2 linked regions of the Saccharomyces cerevisiae S288C genome follow. The protein of the gene in region 2 binds, or shares a complex with, the protein of the main gene of each other region. Each region holds a gene or a part of one and is shown on either strand. Other genes may lie near its edges. A codon is read from its position in the direction of its gene.

Region 1 (5,569 bases), on a different chromosome or scaffold from region 2:
TACCACCAGAAGATTGGAATCGGCCGCAATGGATTAACGATACACTTTTTGAAGAAAGACTTCGAGTCATGGAGGATGAGGGTGTTTTATATGGGGGATCCAAGTCATATAGAAATATGTGTCGGTTTAATTCTGGTTTTTTTTTCCGGCAGTCAATACTGGACAACTATGATTACTACTTTAGGGTGGAACCCAATGTCAAGTATTATTGCGATTTCCCATATGACCCGTTCAGAGTTATGAGATTGAAGGGCAAAAAATACGGATTTGTCATATCATTATATGAATATGAAGAAACCATACCAACCTTATGGGACGCGGTAGAGGAGTATTTAGTGGCCAGCGAAGAGACCATTTTACGTAAAGAGGACAGTGCCTATGCATTTTTGACCGATTCAGGGCTAGTTGGTAAGCATTATCCCGTTGTTGAAGCAAACTCTGACTACAATTTGTGCCATTTTTGGTCGAATTTTGAGATTGGCGACTTGAATTTCTTCAGAAGTGACGAATATAAGCATTTTTTTGAAACTTTAGATGCCAAGGGCGGATTTTACTACGAAAGGTGGGGTGACGCACCTGTACATTCAATTGGTGTCTCCCTACTGCTGAGACCTGACGAAATCATTCATTTTGACGAACTTGGCTATTTTCACTCACCGTTTGGCACCTGTCCAGCATCTTACGCTGTTAGGCTCGATCAGAGGTGTAGATGCAAAAGCGATGATGAAAGTGTCATAGATATAACCCCACATAGTTGTTTGATGAGATGGTGGAAAAACGGTAGCGGCAAATATTTCTTAAAAGAAGAGCAAGACGAGATTTAAAATCCTGTCCTTTTTCCTGTTAAATAGGCCTAACTTCCACAGGGTGAAAATTCATTACTAGTTACACACACGTATACATACAGTTATTAATAGAGTGTTTCTAGGTTTGACAATTCCTTTAGTATCCTTTCCAACTCATCGTCTGATATTTTATTGTTTAAGCTTGGAATTAAAGTCTTTGCTTCATCAGCTGTGTCACAGGCCAAAGAACCTAGTTGCGCCACTTCAAAAGGATGTAACCCAGTGCTTTTCAGAAGCTGTATAACTGCCCCGACGGTTTCTTGGTCTCTAAATCGGGAGAAATTTGTTAAATACTGCATGGTATTTTTCAAATCTTTATTATTTCCTCCCGTTGTCTGTTCTAACAGAACGTCGATAGACTCCAACTCCTTCTCCCTAGTTTCAGAATGCATAAAATCATCATCATCAGCGTTGACGTCATCTTCATCCAGATCATCATCTTCATCCTCTACTGCCGTAGTTTCATCATTGGCGTTTTCGTGCTTCAAATGCTTCTTCTTGTGTTTTTTTTGCGATCTTTTAAATGCTCTCCTACGTTCTACAAGAGCTTCTTTGATTACTAACCTGGCTTCACTTAGGTTCAAGGCAATCAATTCCTCCTCTTCACCCTGATGATTTATCTGTTTCAGCTGGAATTCCTGGCCCAGTTGTAGAGTAGCTGCATTTTCTTCTTCCTCCACTTTCTTCAATCTTCTCCGTCTTGTTTGAAAGGTTGATGTAGAAACATTCATTTTTCTATATTCTTATATATATATTTTCAATACGGATGAATATTTGTGTACTTTCGCCCTCAAACTCAACTTATTAAGATGCAGCAACCCATTCAAGTCTCTTTCTTTACTTTTGTCTCACCGTTAAGCATGTACGTATGTGTGTAGGTATGTTTAATAGCTACCTTGCAAAAAGTTTGAAGAATGACAATATCACTATTGTCGCGTTGCACGTAAATGACACCTAAAAAGGATTTAGGATTTGGAGAAAAAAACTAAAAAAAATATAAAAGGCCTAATAAAAATATCAAAATAGCGCGATGGCTTTATTAACCCTAACCGCCCCTTCTGAACCATTGCAAGCAATGCCCCCTCCTCAGATTTACCCCTTCTGGGCTGAACAATGAATGAGTCGCAATGCTAAACAGATATAAGGAAACAATTGGTGGGCCATTACTGGGGGTATTACACAAATTTCTCACTATTAGATTTGGGAATATATCGAAAGAAGAATTTTGGTGAAGAGCAACAGCCATTGTGCAAGGGAACATAATTTCGTTATCTTTTTTTCACATGCTAATTTGAGCAATCATGAACTCATCCAATAATAACGACTCGTCCAGCTCCAATAGCAACATGAATAACTCCTTGAGCCCGACCCTTGTGACCCACAGTGATGCTAGTATGGGCTCGGGTAGAGCAAGCCCAGACAATAGCCATATGGGGAGAGGTATATGGAATCCATCGTACGTAAATCAAGGCTCTCAAAGGTCTCCACAGCAGCAGCATCAGAATCATCACCAGCAGCAGCAGCAGCAGCAACAACAACAACAACAGAATTCTCAATTTTGCTTTGTTAACCCTTGGAATGAGGAAAAAGTAACTAATTCTCAACAAAACCTGGTGTATCCCCCTCAATACGATGACTTAAACAGTAACGAAAGTCTAGATGCGTACAGACGACGTAAATCTAGTCTCGTTGTACCTCCAGCCAGGGCACCTGCCCCAAATCCTTTCCAGTACGATAGTTATCCCGCTTACACCAGCTCTAATACGAGTTTGGCAGGAAATAGCAGTGGCCAGTATCCTTCTGGCTATCAACAACAACAACAGCAAGTATACCAGCAGGGCGCTATCCATCCTTCCCAATTTGGATCCAGATTTGTTCCCTCCCTTTATGATCGTCAAGATTTCCAAAGAAGGCAGAGTCTGGCTGCAACTAATTATTCGTCCAATTTTTCTTCCCTAAATTCAAATACTAATCAAGGAACAAACTCCATACCAGTCATGTCACCTTACAGGAGGCTTAGCGCATATCCTCCTAGTACAAGTCCCCCACTACAACCCCCTTTCAAGCAGTTACGAAGAGATGAAGTACAAGGTCAGAAATTGTCCATTCCTCAGATGCAACTTTGCAACTCTAAAAACGATCTTCAACCTGTCTTAAATGCTACTCCAAAGTTTAGACGTGCGTCGCTCAATTCCAAGACGATATCTCCCCTAGTCAGTGTCACGAAAAGCCTGATTACCACATATTCTTTATGTTCTCCAGAATTTACCTACCAAACGTCCAAAAACCCCAAGAGAGTACTTACGAAGCCCAGTGAAGGGAAATGTAACAACGGATTCGACAACATAAACAGTGACTATATTCTTTATGTAAATGACGTTTTGGGTGTAGAGCAGAACAGAAAGTACCTTGTGCTAGACATTTTGGGTCAAGGTACATTTGGTCAAGTGGTCAAATGTCAAAATTTGCTGACGAAAGAGATATTGGCTGTAAAAGTGGTTAAATCGAGGACAGAATATTTGACTCAAAGTATAACGGAGGCTAAAATTTTAGAGCTACTGAATCAAAAGATAGACCCTACTAATAAACATCATTTTTTAAGGATGTATGACTCCTTTGTCCACAAGAACCACTTATGTTTAGTGTTTGAATTACTAAGCAATAATTTGTACGAATTATTAAAACAAAACAAATTTCATGGGCTCTCTATACAACTTATCAGAACATTCACCACTCAAATACTGGATTCGTTATGCGTTTTGAAGGAAAGCAAACTGATTCATTGCGATCTGAAGCCAGAGAATATCTTGCTCTGCGCACCTGATAAGCCGGAATTGAAAATTATTGATTTTGGCTCATCTTGCGAAGAGGCAAGAACCGTTTATACATACATCCAGTCCAGGTTTTATCGTGCTCCTGAAATTATACTGGGTATACCGTATTCAACCAGTATTGACATGTGGTCGTTAGGTTGTATTGTTGCTGAATTATTTTTGGGTATACCGATCTTCCCAGGCGCTTCTGAATATAACCAATTAACAAGAATAATAGACACGCTTGGATATCCTCCATCGTGGATGATAGATATGGGTAAAAACTCTGGAAAATTTATGAAGAAATTGGCACCAGAAGAAAGTTCTTCTTCTACACAAAAGCATCGTATGAAAACTATTGAAGAGTTTTGCAGAGAATACAATATAGTGGAAAAGCCCAGTAAACAATATTTTAAGTGGAGAAAGTTACCAGATATTATTAGAAACTACAGGTATCCTAAAAGCATACAGAACTCCCAAGAACTTATCGACCAAGAAATGCAGAATAGGGAGTGTTTGATCCACTTTTTAGGCGGTGTGCTAAATTTGAACCCGTTAGAAAGATGGACACCACAACAAGCTATGCTACACCCCTTCATAACAAAGCAGGAGTTTACAGGTGAGTGGTTTCCTCCAGGATCGTCTTTACCGGGTCCTTCAGAAAAACATGACGATGCAAAAGGCCAGCAAAGTGAATATGGAAGTGCGAACGACTCTAGTAACAATGCAGGCCACAACTATGTCTATAATCCTAGCTCTGCCACTGGTGGTGCTGATAGCGTCGACATTGGTGCTATCAGTAAAAGGAAGGAGAATACATCTGGCGACATCTCCAATAATTTTGCTGTTACTCATTCTGTTCAAGAAGGGCCAACAAGCGCGTTCAATAAACTTCACATTGTCGAAGAATAAATCGTTATTTTGTCTGACTTTTCTTAACTACCCATTTCATTTTATTACGGCTTGGTGCCATAATGATATACTAAATAAATATGAATTTTGCCTTTTCTTAATTTTCCTTATACGTATAGTCATTACAATTAATAAAGTAACATTATAAAGTTTCTGCACTAGCTTTTGGCTTGTTGATATTTTCTCTTCAGAGATGAAGTATGGTACTTTTTCAATATATAATATGTACATGGTTGAGAGAAATGGTTGGTAATCTTGAAATAAAAGGCTGAAATAAAGTAAAAACGTAAAGGAGGCTAGTGCGATACGTCATTTATGTAACAAAAAACATGCCGAATAAGGGTACTTCCAACAACGATGAAAAAATGGCTCATATAATGTCTACATGCCTAAGCTTGCAGAGGTTGAGAGGAAGGTGCTTCGGGCAAAGGAGGAGCCATAGGTTTGGCTTGCCAAGCAGCATATCTTTGAAACATTAGTCCCACACCTTCAATCACACCCAACAAACAAGCACACGTGATCGAACTGTTCCTTGTATGCCTCCAACCACCTCTTACAGCTAAAGCGCCACCAGTGAAAAACCCTGCAATGATAGCATTCCATGGGTCCTCTCTCTTTCTAACGGCCTTCACAGCGCAATCAAAAGTCGAAAATAAACCACCCCACACACCAAAATTACCACCCAGTACGGGAGCACGCGCTTTAATGGCGCTCATAGCTCCTGAACCACGCTCACCTAATGGCGAATTTCTAAAACCTTTAATCCCATGCCAAACAACACCACCAATGGCACCCATGGCAAAAGCACCACCGAAATCATTTAGTATGACTATAGGACATGGATCTCTCGAATGATCGGCTGACATAACGCTCCCGTGTACTCTATTTTTCTTAACGCTTTCTTCTGAACTTGACTCTTTCACAGCTTTTCCATCTTTTGATGAGAATAGTGCTTTTATCCTCTGGATTTGGCATAAAAATGGAAACTTTGGCGCAAGA
Region 2 (7,241 bases):
TCCTTTTTCAATTGCTTGATCTTAGATCTTAGGAACACAACCATTTCACCCTTTTGTTTAGCACCTTCATTATACTCACAAAGAATTAGATAAACAAAGAAAAAGAAAACAACATATGCCATACCAATACCGAACCCACGCCACTTATGTTTGTGCTCATAATCGTAACTTTCCTTCAAGAAGTCATCACCCAACACATAGTCGTTACCTGGATAAGCACCAACTGCGGAACAGACGCGTTGAGTACCTGTGATGTTCTGATAAGCAGGGCCAGCAGGGATGTATTGGGCACAAGGGAATCTACGGTCATGGAATTCATTGATCATTAAAGATTCAAACAGGTAGGCTAGCGGGTTGATATACCAAATCCAAATGGACCAACCTAAAATCTTCGTTTTAGGGATGGCAAACCCTGTATACATAGAAATTGCCAATAATAACATTGAAGCGGGGACCATGGCCTCCTGTAATGTTTTGGTCAAGGAGCCCACGCATCTAAATAAATGGGATAAAGTGAATGTGGCAATGACATTAATTAAAAAATAAAAGAAAAAGACACCACCGTTTCTCCTGAAATCAACTAGGAAATAAAAGATGATGTTGAAGCAGACAGCAGTGATCAATTTTGGCGGCATTTCTGACAAAACAGACGCAAATGCGTCAGCGCTTGGATGATACAAGGAATAAGTTCTGTGTTTTTCAGTTATAGGTCTTGTTTCATACAAACTAAAGATTTCCAAAAGACACGAAAATGCATTAAATAAAATAGCAAAAAACATTGCAGCACCACGGAAATAGAAAGTGGAAGTATCGTTTTTCTTCATCACTTTATAAAACATAGAACCCAAGATGAAAGCCATGACAGAGTTACCGATGACTTGCCACAAAGTAACACTAGCACTTTGCTTCATTCTCCAGAAATTTCTAATCAACAAGTATTTGACTTGCATTCCGTAGTTGACAACGTATGGAGAGGAAGGTGGTGCCCTTTTTGCCTGTTTAGCGTGGTGAGCATCCCTGATAATATTGCGTGCTTCATCTGTGTTTTTCTCTAATGTAGAGTCTATATCCTTGATTAAATTTTTGTAGCTTTCTGATTGTAGCCAATATTCGGCCATATCCTTTGGCGTTTGAGGCACTCTAGTACCTTTTTCGATAAATTCTTTGCTAATAATTCTTTCAGTAGGACTTGTAATTGAAGTTAAAAAATCTGCAGTGGTCTGTCTGGGAGGACAATAGTAGCCCATGTCTTGGAAATATTTCTTTGCATCCTTAGCGGGCCCAAAATAAAGCTGGTAACCATCATCCAGGACACAGACCTTATCAAAAAGATCATAAGCATCCTGAGAACATTGATAGATGGCCACAGTAGCCGCGGTCTTTCCAATGTCAGCCTGGGTTTTTAAAGCACGGATGAATTCTAAAGCAGTAGCAGAGTCCAAACCTCTGGTGGCATTATCCCAACATTGAAATCTGGCGCCGCAGATTGCGACTTCCGCAATGGATACACGCTTTCTTTCACCACCAGAAACACCTCTGACTAGATCGTTTCCGACCTTGGTGTCCCTTGTATGCGAAAGACCATATGTGGCCATTGCAACTTCTGTCACGTGATTGGCGTACGCTTCTCTATCAACACCCTTGATACGATTTTGCGGCGTTTTCATCCTTGCCACGGTGAAAAGCGTCTGGTACACGGTAAGATGCGGTAAATGAATATCTGATTCCGCATTGTAAACGACTTCACCACGGTAATGTTTCCTGATATCCGAGCTTGACAAACCGTTGTAAGAGACAATGGAGTCTTTTGCGATCTTGAACCCGTGCGAATTAGAAGATATGGATTTTAGCAGCGTAGTACAACCTGACCCTGGTCTCCCAAGAACAACCAACAGTTCACCGGGATTAAGACAACCATCCATGGGTTTCAGGATCTGAAAAGTGTCCTCTTCTTTACTGGGCTTCAGTAATCTGAGCCCTTTCGTAAGCAGCTTTGGTACGATGTTAGCGAAAGTTGACTGGTATGACACATCGGCGGAGTCTCCGGAGGCGCTTAGATTCTTCCATACACAACCGAGTGAGTATGGTTTATAGAAATCCGGGTCCGAAGTACAAATATTTGCCATGTTCTGTACCCACGCCGTACTGGAGAATTGATCACTGTTAGGGTCCAATTTGGGATTGTATCCCGGGGTGTCCGGGTTAGTGAACACCGGGTTCACACCTTCCATGTCCGTAGAAAATACGGATCTCGAGTCCGCATTGTGCGCATTATGGTTGCTGGAAGAGCTATTGTTTGAGTTAGCAGTGTATAGTAAACTCTGCGATGTGAGTGTTCTAGCCAACTCATGCACCCTTTCCGCGGCTTCGCTGTCGAAACCGCGGTATGGATGCTGTCCAATGGATTGGGCGGCAGAGTTCGAGCTCGAGCTTGAGCTCGAGCTCCGCGAATTTCGTTCCTCTACGTCTCTGATATCTGATGACATAGGTTTTTGATAATTATAAGTGTGTTTGCTTGTGTGTGTGTGTGTTTATATATTCGTATAGTAACTGTTATACGCTAATAGTATTAGTGATGTGATGTTCTTAACAGTAGTATACTTGAATACTGCATATGACGTATCTACAACAAGACTAGCAAATCTCTTTACAGCAACATAAGAAGGCAATTTGGTCCAGGTAGAGAGCTCCTGCTTATATATTCCTCAGATGTACATGCTCCCTTTCCGATCCCTACTACCAAAGTCTCGCACAGCAGTAGCAGTATTCTTTTCCCTCATCGTCTTACCATCGTGCCATACCTTAACCCCGGCACCGTGCGTTGCAGATCCGCCCCTCGCGGACCCGCTCGAGACTCTCCGCGGAACGAGCATGCGGACGGCTCCGCGCCACTGTCTCCGCAGGCATCCGTGCATGGCATCCCGCGGAAGCGACCCTGAAAATAATAAGTAAAGCAACCAATGTTCTTGCTCTTTGCGCGAACAAAAATAAAAAAAGAACAGAAATACAGGCCACCTTCCAGGGCAGGGGAAGGGGATGCCATCATCATTCTTTTCTTCCGTAAGGCATGTTCTACAGCCACTTCATATATTTTTGCGTTTGTTGCTCGGAAAAAGTAATGTTCTTAATTTTCTTTCTTTTTTTTTTTTTCTGTTTAGAGATTATGTAGTTTGCTCCGTATATACAAGTGTGAGGGGTGCAAGATGCTTATCTGGGTATTTGCGTGTGGGTTAACGAAGGGGTGGAATGGGAAACCTTCTAATGTAGATCTTCTATGTACCTGTTCAGGGCAATTAGTTTATCTGCGCGCTGCAGTTCGGCGGCGTGACGCTCTCGCTTATTGTCTATCTCTCGTTTTAAGAAGCGAGGTATAAAAGGCTGGGCCACCCGTTCGTAAGGCCCCACGACTCCGTCGAATGCTGTGCCGGGTTTGTTGGCGTCTGAGCCCAAGCAGTTAAGTCTTTCTTCACGGTACTTTTCCATGTTGTCAGGCGTGGTGCTGTCCCAGAAGGAGTTTTCGTCCGGACGGGGTTCTTCGGGCCAAATGAAGGGTTCTTCCATCTCGATAGTCATTTTCTTGATCTGCGGTTCTCTAAACCGCGTCGTCTGTAGGTTCATACGGTTAAACTTCCCATGAAGCAGCTGCGTCGTAATGTTCATTGCTCTTAAGCCGTAGATATGATAAAGATAGTCTCTGAGATCCAGTTTGTTGAACGATTTTGGGACGATGAATTTTGCTTGATACGGTGTGTGCTTCGCGTTGGGCCTCAAGAGGATGATCCTGGCCTTGGGAAAGTAGACTTTGTTACCTCCAACTTTGAAATGCTCCTTTCCCTGCTCTATGCCCGCCTTTGTCCACTTATAAATCTTCTCGCTTACGTTTATATCTACTTCGCGATCGCTGCCGCTTTTGTCGAGTATTTTGGAGGAACTCTCCACCACTGAGGCTAGTGATCTTATTGGAACCTGCTCTGGCTTGCAACTTCCTACTGCAAGTGTTTTTTGCAAAGGATACAACATATTCTTCGTTCCAACCGTCAATCGTGGCATATTCTGTGTTGGTGTTGCGTACTTTTTATTTTTATTTTATTTTTTTTTCTGTTGGAGCCTGCTAATCAAAGCACATTATTTGTTAGTAGCGTTACGTTCTCCACAAGAAATGTATGTACATTTCAAGTTCTAATACCATCGTTTTCCCTTTTTCATCGAGAAAATTCGTATAACGCGATTACGTATTAAGTGATCTTCTGTGGGTTTCAACGGCTATTTTGAAAAATACAAGGAAAATAAATGCGGTATTCCTATATCCCAGTGAAAATGCCAATAACGTAGACAAGCTCACTTCGTCGATTTATTCTCTAACATTGGGTCGATCAGGTCTGTCCACCTATCTCTTCTCCCAGAATATCATAGCCTTTCTTTTTCCGTTTCTCCTCCTACACCATTCTCCTTTGCGATTAGACAGTGGGAAAGTCCAAGAATAGATTCACATTTCAACCACTGTATAAATAACTCAATTTCTGAGAATGTTTTTTATTAAAGACCTTTCGCTTAATATTACCCTTCATCCGTCCTTTTTCGGTCCTCGAATGAAGCAATATCTAAAGACAAAACTATTGGAAGAGGTTGAAGGTTCGTGTACGGGTAAATTCGGATATATTCTTTGTGTCCTAGACTATGATAATATAGATATTCAACGTGGGAGAATATTGCCCACAGATGGGTCCGCCGAGTTCAACGTGAAATATAGAGCTGTAGTTTTCAAACCATTTAAAGGGGAAGTAGTGGACGGCACAGTCGTTTCATGTTCTCAGCACGGGTTCGAAGTGCAAGTAGGTCCAATGAAAGTATTTGTGACAAAGCATCTGATGCCTCAAGATTTAACCTTTAATGCGGGTTCAAACCCACCATCATACCAAAGTTCCGAGGATGTCATCACCATAAAAAGTAGAATTAGAGTTAAAATTGAAGGTTGTATCAGTCAAGTGAGTTCTATTCACGCAATCGGTAGTATCAAAGAAGATTATTTGGGTGCTATTTAATCACTTGTTACTCCGCAACGCTTTTCTGAACGCCCGCCTTCGCCTTTCATTATCATTCTCATCCCAAAAGAACTGTGCATGTTATTTGCAATACTTCATATACGCTCTGTATTATTAATAGTATCATTAATTACGTCAATTGAAATTCAAAATATCATCTTTGACAGTAACATCTATCCTCTTAGACAACTAGGGCCATTGCAGTGTCTCGAAACCATTAATATCACTGAAAAGATGAAAAGAAAGGCAAATATATATTGATCACTAATTTTCTAAGCTAAAGAATCTATTCCCCCTCTGTTAAATGGAATTGTGTGAAATAAAATATTATAAAATCAGAACTTTGGGGGGGAAACATAAAAAAATGAGAAAAAGAAAACGAACTAACTAATGTTTAAGTAAAAGAACAAAAAGGTAGACCAATGTAGCGCTCTTACTTTATTAAGAGATTTTCTTGATAACGAAATGTCCTCCTTCTCCAATATCGAAACGAGTATCTTTCCATACACCATCATACATACCCTTTTCGAGAGCCTCCTTGACTACTTTTGATTTTGTCAAAAAGTATTTCTCCTTTTCATCCTCAACCTTCACGACACAATTATGCCAAGGTGTGGGAATATGTAAAAAATCTTCAAATTTGGGTTCATCAAGGTCTTCTAACGAACTAACAATAGAACACTGTTCGTTGGAGATTACTTTTATACCAAATTTGGGCCCGCTGTTAGTGTGCGCATGAATAGAAATTCTCAAATGATGAGGGAATATCAATTCCACTAAGTTCGAATACGCGTCATTTCTCTTAATCATGTTAAAAGCGATCATTGAAATGATTTTCTTGAATTTTTTTCTGGAATAACTTTGGAAATGTTCCAGTAGAGATAAATCTTCCATCATAAAACGTGAAAAGCCCCTATACAGATGCAATCTTGGATGTCCTTCTATTGCAATCTGCTTTCTCAAACGACCTGCATCTGTATCACAGCCTTTCATCAAAATCTGTCTCGACAAATCGGACTTAGGACAGATTTGAGTTCCTGTGTAGTGTGCAACTTCAACATCACTAACCCACTTTGGATCGAAAACTTTACTAGCTGCACCGCTAAAAAATAAATCGTTCAATCCACAAAAGCCAATGGCGTCAACACCAGGTATAGCCACTCTTTTATACAGTTCGTGCAATTTGGTCGTGTAAGTACTCACGACGTCATCATCGACCCCAATACAATCGGAGAAAACATGGCCATCACTAACTATCCAAATTTTCATACCCGGTGGATATATCTTGACAAGGTCTTGTGTGGCTTTTATTAATCTTTTCAAAGCGAGTTCTTCGCCTTTGTCAGGAACGGAACCGTACACTTTTTGCTCATTAGATGACTTACATGGAAACGCTGGCAAGATGCATTCAATTCTCAAATATCGATCGGTAAAATATCTTGAACGTTCAATAAAATAATCACGGCCACCAAAATTCCATTGATCATTAACTATTGTGTTTTTCAAATTTTTCTCAAAAAAATCTGCAAATAATTCGTGATACTTAACTTCTTTGGTTACAATTGGATGTTCACTTAGAGATAATTGAGATTGGTCTAAAATATGATATACGAACCAGTTATTGAAAGAATTTTCATTCTCAACTGTTGTAACACACCCACGAATCTGGCGTTCGTCATCGCGTGTATATTCAGAAATCTTTATTGCCACTCCTAAATTATTGGTAAATTTATTTGCTAAAGAAGCTGGCAAAATTCTTTCAGAAACCCGTCCACTTACTTCGGATTCAGAAAAGTCCAGATTGTGAATAGTGTTGATAAAGTCGAGCCATTGGTCTCCAAATTTACAATTCTGTTTTTCCTCTAAAGAGTAAAAATCGTCACATTTGTCGCTTCTGCAATACAGGGCCAGAAATTTACTATATGTAGACAAATCGGCCCCATTATGGGGAATATCAATATCTTTCAACGTATCAGTCGATGAAGAAAATGAAGAGGCAGGTGGTGATATTGACTGCTCGGAGCTTGAGGGCAAGTTGCTAGTAAATGTCATTTTTGTTAATGTCTCGACAAAGCTTTACCGAATTAGGATATTAACAAATTGTTTATTTAGTCAAGACTTTGCGGAGGAGCACAATTTATGTGAAAATTTATTTCAATATTTATACATCATTTTTGATTCTGAACCTATTTTCAGAAA

Evidence for each region.
Region 1: the proteins of RPB7 (region 2) and RPB4 are in contact, whole or in part, in a crystal structure (PDB 5IP7), measured with the Saccharomyces cerevisiae proteins. Residues at the interface, in NP_010692.3 of Saccharomyces cerevisiae: Met1 (codon at 4,527), Phe2 (codon at 4,530), Phe3 (codon at 4,533), Ile4 (codon at 4,536), Lys5 (codon at 4,539), Asp6 (codon at 4,542), Leu7 (codon at 4,545), Ser8 (codon at 4,548), Leu9 (codon at 4,551), Asn10 (codon at 4,554), Arg21 (codon at 4,587), Gln24 (codon at 4,596), Leu31 (codon at 4,617), Glu33 (codon at 4,623), Val34 (codon at 4,626), Glu35 (codon at 4,629), Gly36 (codon at 4,632), Ser37 (codon at 4,635), Thr39 (codon at 4,641), Lys41 (codon at 4,647), Phe42 (codon at 4,650), Tyr44 (codon at 4,656), Leu46 (codon at 4,662), Cys47 (codon at 4,665), Val48 (codon at 4,668), Leu49 (codon at 4,671), Tyr51 (codon at 4,677), Asp52 (codon at 4,680), Lys73 (codon at 4,743), Tyr74 (codon at 4,746); in NP_012395.1 of Saccharomyces cerevisiae: Val3 (codon at 1,570), Ser4 (codon at 1,567), Thr5 (codon at 1,564), Ser6 (codon at 1,561), Thr7 (codon at 1,558), Phe8 (codon at 1,555), Gln9 (codon at 1,552), Glu22 (codon at 1,513), Asn23 (codon at 1,510), Ala24 (codon at 1,507), Ala25 (codon at 1,504), Leu29 (codon at 1,492), Gly30 (codon at 1,489), Glu32 (codon at 1,483), Phe33 (codon at 1,480), Gln37 (codon at 1,468), Ile38 (codon at 1,465), Asn39 (codon at 1,462), His40 (codon at 1,459), Glu45 (codon at 1,444), Leu47 (codon at 1,438), Ile48 (codon at 1,435), Ala49 (codon at 1,432), Leu50 (codon at 1,429), Leu52 (codon at 1,423), Ala55 (codon at 1,414), Val58 (codon at 1,405), Ile59 (codon at 1,402), Ala62 (codon at 1,393), Leu63 (codon at 1,390).

The regions. Positions count from the first base shown.
Region 1 is NC_001142.9:146,968-152,536, reverse strand, and holds RPB4 (DNA-directed RNA polymerase II subunit RPB4), read right to left. Parts: upstream 1,577-5,569; coding exon 911-1,576; downstream 1-910. Other genes in the region: mannosyltransferase YUR1, read left to right, coding at 1-824; serine/threonine protein kinase YAK1, read left to right, coding at 2,147-4,570; IRC9 (Irc9p), read left to right, coding at 4,326-4,718; protein transporter TIM17, read right to left, coding at 4,960-5,436. UniProt on the Saccharomyces cerevisiae protein: DNA-dependent RNA polymerase catalyzes the transcription of DNA into RNA using the four ribonucleoside triphosphates as substrates. Component of RNA polymerase II which synthesizes mRNA precursors and many functional non-coding RNAs.
Region 2 is NC_001136.10:1,274,455-1,281,695, reverse strand, and holds RPB7 (DNA-directed RNA polymerase II subunit RPB7), read left to right. Parts: upstream 1-4,526; coding exon 4,527-5,042; downstream 5,043-7,241. Other genes in the region: ATP-binding cassette multidrug transporter PDR15, read right to left, coding at 1-2,486; mitochondrial 54S ribosomal protein uL23m MRP20, read right to left, coding at 3,259-4,050; DIT1 (Dit1p), read right to left, coding at 5,484-7,094. UniProt on the Saccharomyces cerevisiae protein: DNA-dependent RNA polymerase catalyzes the transcription of DNA into RNA using the four ribonucleoside triphosphates as substrates. Component of RNA polymerase II which synthesizes mRNA precursors and many functional non-coding RNAs.